Linked DNA regions of Rattus norvegicus. The protein of the gene in region 1 interacts with the protein of each later gene in a pairwise test. Links are inferred from orthologs where the notes say so. Each region holds a gene or a part of one and is shown in the gene's direction. Other genes may lie near its edges.

Region 1 (2,772 bases):
CCTTGTTTGAGACCCAAAAGGTACTCCAGGACCGGCTGTACTGCTCCTTTACCTCTGTCACAGGGATTTTACTGAAGTATTTCCACATCTAAATGCTACTAGGAAGTAGCGAGCCTCACTTGGTGGAGACTGGGGAGGGAGGAGCAAGGCTAGATGTTTGGACAGATAGCTGCCTGCCTGGTGAAGAATTGGGAGGTGGCAGTGGCTGGCACTTCATCCTTGTCCAGGACAGAAGGAACCGTTTTCCTCAGCGTTGGTCTGGGCCGTTTTTCCTTTAGGAGCCCTCCCATGGAGATGCAGCCCCCTGTCTCTCCTCAGCAGTCTGAGTGCAACCCTGTTGGTGCTCTGCAGGTGTGCCTCATCTTCATTGTCGTGTGTGCTGTCTTCTCTGAACTAGGGCCCTGAGGCAGGGATGTGCGCCCTCGTGGGTGGGGTGGTCCTCCTTCTCATTCAGAGGCTGAGGCTCTTGGTAGAAAGCCACTCGGGTAAGGAACCTTTCTTTCCCCATTAAACCTTGGACTCTTCTGTTTTTCTCTCAAGGAGCTGGTGGTGCAGAAAGGCTGGCGTTTGCCAGAGTACATGGTGACCCAGGAGTCTGGGCCTGCTCACCGCAAAGAGTTCACCATGACCTGCCGGGTGGAGCGTTTCATTGAGATTGGTAACTGGGGAAAAGGGGGTTCACTCACCTTCTCTCCGCCACACTATAGCCCCACACAAGGTGGCTCTTTGCCTGGCTGTGCTCTGTCCCAACTTTCTTTGCTTTGCAGCTCCTTGCTCAGTTCTTCCCTCCCTGTCTCTTCCTTGTCCCTGCCCATCTTTCCCCTCTTTTCTGGCTCATCAACTCCTCAGTGAAAACGAACAGGCCTTGAGCTCCTCTTTGCAGTTATCCCATAAGGGGACCTTCTATCCAAGTTAACTTAGAGGGAAAGCATTGGTCTGTTAGGAATCCCCAAATCGAACAATTCCTTCCCTATCCTCAGGCAGTGGGACCTCCAAGAAGCTGGCAAAGCGCAACGCGGCAGCTAAGATGCTGCTTCGAGTGCACACGGTACCTCTGGATGCCCGCGACGGCAACGAGGCTGAACCTGATGACGATCATTTTTCCATTGTAAGTGGCTTGTGTGGGCTCGCCATGTGGTTCACACTGCAGGACGTGGTGTGGAATTGGGTTGGGTCTGTGATTTGGAAGTGAGTTGGACCTGCTTCTCTACCAAACCCAGGGCTCTTTGAACCTGTGACACCTAGCAGTCCCCTCAGCCTATGTGTAGGGTCACTAGGGAAAGCTGGCCTAGGGCAAAGGCCCTGTAGCAACTTTTCCTGGGATGAGGAAGCCTGCCAGGGGTCAGAGTATGCCCTGTTCTTGGGTTCTTAGCTGCATTCTCACCCTTATCTCATTAGGGCGTGAGCTCCCGCCTGGATGGACTAAGGAACCGTGGGCCAGGCTGCACCTGGGATTCCTTACGGAATTCTGTGGGAGAAAAGATCCTGTCCCTTCGCAATTGCTCCGTGGGCTCTCTGGGGTCTTTGGGCTCTGCCTGCTGCAGCATCCTCAGTGAGCTCTCTGCGGAGCAGGCTTTCCATGTCAGCTATCTGGATATTGGTATGGCCAGCCAGGGACTGGGGATGGAGGGGACTGGATCAGAGCAAGTATAAAGGAGTTGGGAGATGGGTGATGTACACTGCTTGGTGCCCCTCCCCACCAGTGCCTCCCTCTTTTTTGGCTTCCAGAGGAACTGAGCCTGAGTGGGCTCTGCCAGTGTCTAGTGGAGCTGTCCACGCAGCCAGCCACTGTGTGTTATGGTTCTGCCACTACCAGGGAGGCAGCCCGAGGTGATGCTGCTCGCCGCGCACTACAGTACCTCAGGATCATGGCCGGTAGCAAATAGCACCCACTACAGTGATGGATATCTGTTACTTCTTGCTCCTTCTGCCCTGGGTCTATGCGTCTGCCTAGCTCTGGTGCCCTCCAGAGGTGCCATCTCTACCTCTGACACAGCTTGCCTGCCTTGAGACTGAGGAAGGCAAAGGCAAGCAAGGAGCCATGAACCACAGGGCCCCAGCCAGCGCAGGGTTTGCCCTCATTCCATGGATGATGAATGAAAGGAAATTGGAATTCTATTGGAATCCAGAATAAATGCTGCTCTTTGGCTTCTTAAACCCTGTGTTCTCTGGCCCTGGGTCATGAGGGTGTCAAAGGAATACACAGTGTTTGTTCTCCTTCTGAACCCCATTCTTTTTGCTACAGGCAGGAGGCAAGGTGCAGTAGCCTTGGGGACCCTCCAGCAGAATGGCTGGAGACTGATTGAGTGGAGGTAAAGGAGGCTATAACTATTGCTCTTGGGCTCCCACCCGTTCCCTGAGAGTCTTGTCCAAACACAGATGCAGAAGCCAGACCACTTTATTTGGGGGCACACATGGAATGTGGGGAAGTGATTTTGCATGCAGACATATCACAGCAGATGATGTTACTTCTTCCCAAAGCGCTGAGGAGCGGCCAGGCTCCAGAACTCTCTAGCCTGGGGACTTAGCTGCTCCTTGCTCCAGGGCCCCCAAGCATTTCTGCCAAACCTTAGGAGAGATTCATCTTTAGTCGGCACTCCCTGTATCTCACCTTCCCTCACATCTTCCTCTGCCCTCCTCCCTTCCCAGCCTCTGCCTTTTGGAACTCACCTCTGGGGCTGAAACAAGAAGGCTGGGTTCCTTCTAGGTCTCTCCATGGCCTGGAGCAGAACACGCATGAGGGACCCAGGAGTCTGGATCCTGTCTGGAGTG
Region 2 (3,655 bases), on another chromosome or scaffold:
TTTTCCTGCCCTGTATGGTAAAAGCTTTCGTTCTTCCACAGCTACAAGATGCTTCCTTCATGCATGTCTGCTTGGGACTTGAAATTGACTTAATTTCCGTGACTCATAGCTCCCATCCAAATCAGGGTCATTATGTGTAGATCTCTCTGTACATCTTGATACAGGTGGAAGTGTGAGCTTTGGTTTTATGTAGACCTGGATTTGAAGCCAACTCTGTTCCTCATTTTAGGCAAGAAATTTCATCATGCTTGGCCTCAGTTTCTTCGTGGATAATAGTTCTTCCATAGATTGTGGGACGTTAGATGTACTAGCATGTAAAGGGCCTACCTAGCACATGGTAGAAATTCAGTAAATGAAGTTTTCTTCCCCCATTCTCTCTTCCTCACAAAAAGTCAGGTGAAACTCTGATATGGCCTGAGTGTCTTTTCTCTGAAATGACGTTTGACTATCTTTGATTTTTGGCTGGGTTCTTGCAGAGCAAAAAACATGCCAACAAAGTAAAGAGATACCTAGCAATCCATGGAATGGAGACACTGAAGGGGGACGTGAAGAGGCTGGACTCCGATCAGGTAACAGCTGCCTGCGTCCGGAGCAGCTTGGTGTGGTGCGAGCATGGGCTTTGATTCAGACTGACTTGCCTGCAGGCCTCAGTGTTGTTATCTAACCTGAGCAAGTCTTCTAATCCTTAAGCCTTGATTTCTTTCTCTGTTAAAAAAAGAAGCATAGGTCCCCACGTGGGGTGCACACATTCAACCAAAGCATGTGGAAGTGCAGGCATGAAGATCGGGCGTGTGAGGTTATCCTTGGCTGCATAGCAAGCTTAAAGCCAGCCTGGGCTACGTGAAAGACTGTCTCAAAACAAAACAAAAAAAGTATAGTTACCTTTCAAGATTTTTTCTAGTTGAGAAAAGACTTATAAAACAGCACCAGACCCAAAATCTGTTGTGTAAGCAACAGTTCAGTTAATGGAGCCATTATTAGACTCCGCCCTTAACTCCCAGAGGGTATTAAAGTAGACAGAGTAAAGGGACACTTATTTTCCTCAGCTGTAGAGAAAACAAATGTTCAGCATTTGCCTGGACAAATGAGGAAAGTGAGAGCCTCCTCTGACACAGTGCAGAAACACTCACTTTTACCTCAGAATTGTTATAAGAATTACAGAGAAACCAGTCACAGTCCCTGAGTGTGCTACGCCTTTCAGAGTGTGGGGGTTCTGCACAGTGCGGTGAGAAGTCGGTGGGCAAGGCTCCTTAACTTAATAGATAGGAGACCTTCCCTCTCGGAAATTCACTCATTAAAAAAAAGGGAGGGGGGAGACCTTGCTCGATAGTGTTGTGAGGTAAAAACTTCAGTACCCAGTAAATGGTCGGTAACTAAGGGGTTACTCTCCAGGCTGCTGGCTCCTGTAATGGTGGCTAGTGGTTTAAAGGGGCCTTCTTGTCCCTTCCAGAAACCATCTCCTGGTTGCCCTTATGGCTTAGACCCACAGGGGCACGATCAGTTAACCTTTCCGCTTCAGTTCTTAGATGACTGCGTAGCTCAGGTGAGATCACAGCACCCACCACCAGCTAGGAATTGCCAAGGCCAAACCATCTGCAGTGGGAAGGCTGAGAAGTGTTGAAGAAACACCTTGTTCAAAGGACAGACTTTCTCGGAAAGATTGAAATACACTTTCTTTCTTTTTTTTTTTTTTTTTTTTTTTTTTTGGTTCTTTTTTTCGGAGCTGGGGACCGAACCCAGGGCCTTGCGCTTCCTAGGTAAGCGCTCTACCACTGAGCTAAATCCCCAGCCCCTGAAATACACTTTCTATCATAACTCTAGTAGCAGGTGGGACCCACTGATGCATTTGCTCTAAGAGCCTTGGCTATCTCCTGTGTGCTGGACACAGCAGGTACAGGGGTAAGAGACAATGACAAGTCAAGCTGTGTACGTCCAGCACTGCACTAAAGCCCACAGGAAAGGCAGCTGCAATGCCGTCAGTTCAGGGTGACAAACGGTGCACTAAAGTCTGACATACTGGGAACACAGCTGAGGAGGAAGGCCAGCGCCTCCTGGACTGCTGCACGCAGGGGCCTTGCTGATGGTTTAGTCATGTGTCTTAAAGTCAGAGTCACTGAATAGCTGATAGCAGACCTAATAAAGCCAGGCGGGAATAAGGAGGAACATTCTAGACAGTAGGGATAAGCAAGCAAATGCGGAAGTAACAGAATAAAGTGGGAAACCATGCACGGAGCCTGACGTGAAATGGCTGGAGAGGGCTTTGTAAAGGTGTGTTGTACTTATGTTACGGTTAACATGTGAAGGGGGTCTTAAATGTCCACCTGCCAAAGGGCAGTGGGGAACCATTGGAGGTTTTCTGGATGGGCGCTGGCGTGATCAGACCTGTGTTCTCTCTCCCAACCAGAAGAGCAGCAGAAGCAAAGACAAGAACCACTGCTGCCCCGTCTGTAACATGACCTTTTCCTCCCCTGTTGTGGCCCAGTCGCACTACCTGGGGAAGACCCACGCAAGGAACTTAAAGCTGAAGCAGCAGCCCGCTAAGGGGGCAGGTACTGGTTTTCCTGAGTAGTGCTTTGGAGACCCTCAGTCCTCAGGGCACCATTGCAGGTGCTCCAGAATGCTCACTGGAGCCTCAGAATGTAGACTGGGGCTCAGGTATTTCAGGCTTTTGAAAGCCCTGAAAAATCCAAGTATGAGCTGGGGGCCTGAGTCGGTTGGTAGAGTAGTTCTTCCCTAGTGTGCTGCAGCCCCAGCCTCGCATAAGCTAGATGAGGTGCATACCCTCATTCTCAGCACTCACGTGGTGAAGGCAGCTACCATCCACAGGGAGTCTGAGCCAACCAGGCCATGTGAGAGCCGGTGTAAAGTGCGTATGTCCATCATAGACCCTGCCCTGCTGAGACTCGGCCTCAGACTTGGTTCACTCTACTTCCCTGGGTGTGCTTCTGTCAGATTTTCTATAGCCGTGACTTGGTTCTTAGCCTATAATTACTAACCTGGCCAGTAATTATAACTCAGGGAGGCCAAAGGCCAGCTGCACACTGAGCATTCTCCGCCTGCCTCGCTCGCCCTCTTAGTTCTTTCCTCCCACCCCACCTGCTCTTACTGCTGAGTGTTGCCGGCGACAGCTAAATCCTCATCTTCACGGACTCAGGTTATGCCTGCTCACTTTGACCTGCAAGGGCTGCCTGCTCTAAATGCCTTCAAAGCCAGACACCCTAGCAAGCCAGTCGCAGCTGCCGTGAGTCCCTCCCCAGCGTCCGACTTCACATGTAGCCTTTTTTATCTCTCAGCATTGGCACAGCCATCACTTTCATCCTGAGGTCTTTATCCTAGGGTAACTGCAATTAGTCACGAGTAGGAGGCCTTTGATTTCTGTTTCACTGGGTGTGTGTGTGTGTGTGTGTGTGTGTGTGTGTGCATATTATTCTCTGTTTTGGACCAAGACCACACTATCGATAGAACTTTTGATCCTTTTGTTTTATTTCATCATTGAAACAAGACAAGTGTTTAGAAGGTTTTGAGGATGTGATGGAGACCTACTCATCCTTGTCCCCTCTTCTCATACCCAGTGCAGTTGTTCATGATGTGAAGGGAGAGAGTGCAGACGTGGAGTCAGAGCAGCACAGGTTAAGTCTGGGCACTTTTATTTACC
Region 3 (3,028 bases), on another chromosome or scaffold:
GATAACATGAAGCTATGTTTAGGGAGCTGTTGGAGCAAAGGCATACCTGTGAAATGGGGCCATGCCTGTGTGTGGTTGAGAGTGGTCAAGGCAGAGAGCCAGCCTGAGGTGTTATTCATCACTTCCACTCAGAGGCTCCATCCCATGGGTGGAGGGGATGGTCTCGGTCTGTCTGTCTCTTCTCTTCTCTTCTCTCTCTCTCTCTCTCTCTCTCTCTCTCTCTCTCTCTCTCTCTCTCTCTCACACACACACACACACACACACACAAGTTAATGAAGCCAAACTCTGCAAGGAAAACCATCTGTAACTCCAGTTCTAGGGGGCTCTGATACTTTCTTCTGGCTTCCACAGGTACTAGGTGGTACACATACATATAGACAGACAGGGAAAACATCCATACACATAAAATTACAAAAAAAAGAAAAGAATTTCCTTCAAAATTAATAAAGAAGACCCTATAATAGGAGAATTTCAAAAAAATACATATATATGGCATATGAATTTGTATAAAGGGAATGCTGGCATTATTTTTCACAACTTTTCTGTAAATCTAAAAGTATTTCCAAATAAAGAATAAGCAGGGCATCTGTATGTGACTCTGTTTTTCCAACAGCTCAAATGTCAGCACATTGAATCCTGTTGGATTTCAGGGTTCACTAGACCTGCTTCCCAACCTTTAATGCCCGTTTCTTTACATTGGTTCAGCCATTAACATCCCTCTTTTTTGTTTTGTTTCCTTTTTATACTAAAAAAGTACCACTACAAAGATTATAAAGCCATTAAGTATCTTAGTTCCTAGCTGATTATGAGAAGAAAATAGCTGAGTATTTGCTCAGCTTTGTCTTATGGAGGGATGCTCATGTGAACATGATTTTATACCCAAGATGATCATCACATTCTACCCAAGATTAGGCAGGGTCTCATGCATTCCAGACTAGCCTCAACTTTTCTGTGTGTGTCTAAAGATGGCAGTATATCCCTATTCCTGCTGACTCTACCCCACAAGTGCTAAGATTGCAAGCATATACCACCATGATAGCTTCCTGAATATTCTTAATCTAGATAGATACTGATTTGTACAGTTGGAGGTAGGAAAGTTATAGCTGATATTCTACAAAGTCTTTGAATGTTCTGCTTAAACTTTGCTGCGCCATTTTCCTTCTGTTGTTGAGAATAAAAGTCTTGAGAGTTGAGTAGTTCACATTACTGCGGTATCTACTTAGAGTACTCCTTCAGAAAACATCACATGAACAGCTGGCAGAAGTTCTAGTTTACTATTCAGCAGCTGCCGCTGGTAAAGGCAAGCTTAGAAAGATTGAACCATCTTTTTCTTTTTTTTTCTTTGCAGCTGTGAAAATGTCTGACAAGAACCAGATCATTGCCAGGGCTTCCTTGATTGAGCAACTGGTGTCTAAAAGGTATTTTGAGGATATTGGTAAACAGCTTACTGAGCTAGAAATGATTTATGTGTCTAAGGAGCATCTGCAGGAGACAGATGTGGTCAGAGCTGTTTACAGAGTCCTCAAAAACTGCCCATCAGTGACTTTAAAAAAGAAGGCCAAGTGTCTGCTGGCAAAGTGGAGAGGTTTCTATAAGAATACACACTTCAAAACAAGGGAAAGCCTTAAAGTACTCCATACAGATGTTAATAAGGAAGTAAGTGTTGCAGTTTCTCAGGATGAAAGCCAAGATGAGACACCAGGCTCTAGCCACAATGAGATATTGGGTCTCTGTAGTTCTCTCTCTAGGCTGTCACCCCAAGATGCTGCAAAGGCTGCTGCAGCATTTGGGTCTGAAAGTAGTGCTGCTCAAATGGAAATTAATGAAGGCTATTTGGAGGATGACTCTGAATCTCCGAGCAAGAGCTCAGGTGTGCTAGATAATCCCTTAGTGTCTGTGAGATCTAAGTGCATAGAACTTCTCTATAAAGCCTTAGCTAGTTCTTGCACAGATCACACAAAAGTTCACTTTTGGCAAAACTTAGCAAGACAAATTGAAGAGCACATTTTTACTCTTCATTCAAACGATATCAAAAAATATAAAAATAATATTCGAAGCAAAGTTGCCAATTTGAACAACCCCAGAAATTCTCATTTACAACAAAATTTGCTCTCTGGAACCATATCTGCAAGGGAATTTGCTGAAATGACTGTACTGGACATGGCAAACCAGGAGCTGAAGCAGTTGAGAGCTTCCTATATAGAATCCAGTATTCAGGAACATCACCTTCCCCAAATAGTTGATGGCACACACACAAATAAAATTAAGTGTAGGCGCTGTGATAAATACAACTGCACAGTCACTGTAATTGCCAGAGGAACACTTTTCCTTCCAAGTTGGGTGCAGAATTCAAACCCAGATGAACAAATGACCTATGTCATTTGTAATGAATGTGGGGAGCAGTGGTACCATAACGACTGGGTGTGCTTGTGATTTGTTAATAATCTTTTCAAGGACATATGTTTTAAATATAAAACATAACCTTCTGTGCTCGTTTTTCAACAAAATCTGAATCTTATTTTTGCCTTCGGGAGTTTGGTTTGTGAAAGACGTCAGTATATAGCCCAAGCTGGTCCATTCTCAGGAGTGCTTGCTTTACACCACACCTGCTTAATGCACTGTTCTTACTACAGTACTAAACCAAGGAGGGAGAGTTGTTTGCCAATGTGTAGGCCATAGAAGGCTATCACATTGTACTTTGTGGCCACTTAAGACTTGACTCAGAGTGGCACTGTGGCTCAACACAGCCTGAGAGCATGTTAGAGATGAAGACTCTTGCCTGGTGCTCCTTGAATCCTGATCTGTATTTTGGCAGAGTCTCCAAGTGATCCTCTGGGATACTTTGAGAATCACTGTGGTTCTCAGGAGTGACTATATATTAGAATTTTCTGAGAAGCATTGAAATGTACTGGTGCCAAGAGCCAAGCCCAGTGCAATTCAGTATGAACCTATGGCACCGGACCCAGTAGTCAGCATTGCTCTTTGGTCATTTCTTGGTTTAAGTTGCAGTTCGAGTTAGGAACTACCT

Evidence for each region.
Region 2: the proteins of Tarbp2 (region 1) and Zfp346 interact in binary tests that used the Homo sapiens proteins (3 or more experiments, as listed by UniProt). The two-hybrid records come from large-scale screens. The link is inferred for Rattus norvegicus from reciprocal best matches to the Homo sapiens genes TARBP2 and ZNF346.
Region 3: the proteins of Tarbp2 (region 1) and Tceanc interact in binary tests that used the Homo sapiens proteins (3 or more experiments, as listed by UniProt). The two-hybrid records come from large-scale screens. The link is inferred for Rattus norvegicus from reciprocal best matches to the Homo sapiens genes TARBP2 and TCEANC.

Annotation. Positions count from the first base shown.
Region 1 is NC_086025.1:135,530,670-135,533,441, forward strand, and holds the end of Tarbp2 (RISC-loading complex subunit TARBP2), read left to right. Parts: intron 1-278; coding exon 279-351; intron 352-540; coding exon 541-658; intron 659-980; coding exon 981-1,108; coding exon of another isoform or gene 1,109-1,112; intron 1,113-1,398; coding exon 1,399-1,600; intron 1,601-1,728; coding exon 1,729-1,886; 3' UTR 1,887-2,157; downstream 2,158-2,772. Other genes in the region: Npff (pro-FMRFamide-related neuropeptide FF preproprotein), read right to left, coding at 2,466-2,568, 2,671-2,772. UniProt on the Homo sapiens protein: Required for formation of the RNA induced silencing complex (RISC). Component of the RISC loading complex (RLC), also known as the micro-RNA (miRNA) loading complex (miRLC), which is composed of DICER1, AGO2 and TARBP2.
Region 2 is NC_086035.1:9,515,158-9,518,812, reverse strand, and holds part of Zfp346 (zinc finger protein 346), read left to right. Parts: intron 1-476; coding exon 477-569; intron 570-2,404; coding exon 2,405-2,549; intron 2,550-3,655.
Region 3 is NC_086039.1:31,587,957-31,590,984, forward strand, and holds Tceanc (transcription elongation factor A N-terminal and central domain-containing protein), read left to right. Parts: upstream 1-1,356; coding exon 1,357-2,433; downstream 2,434-3,028.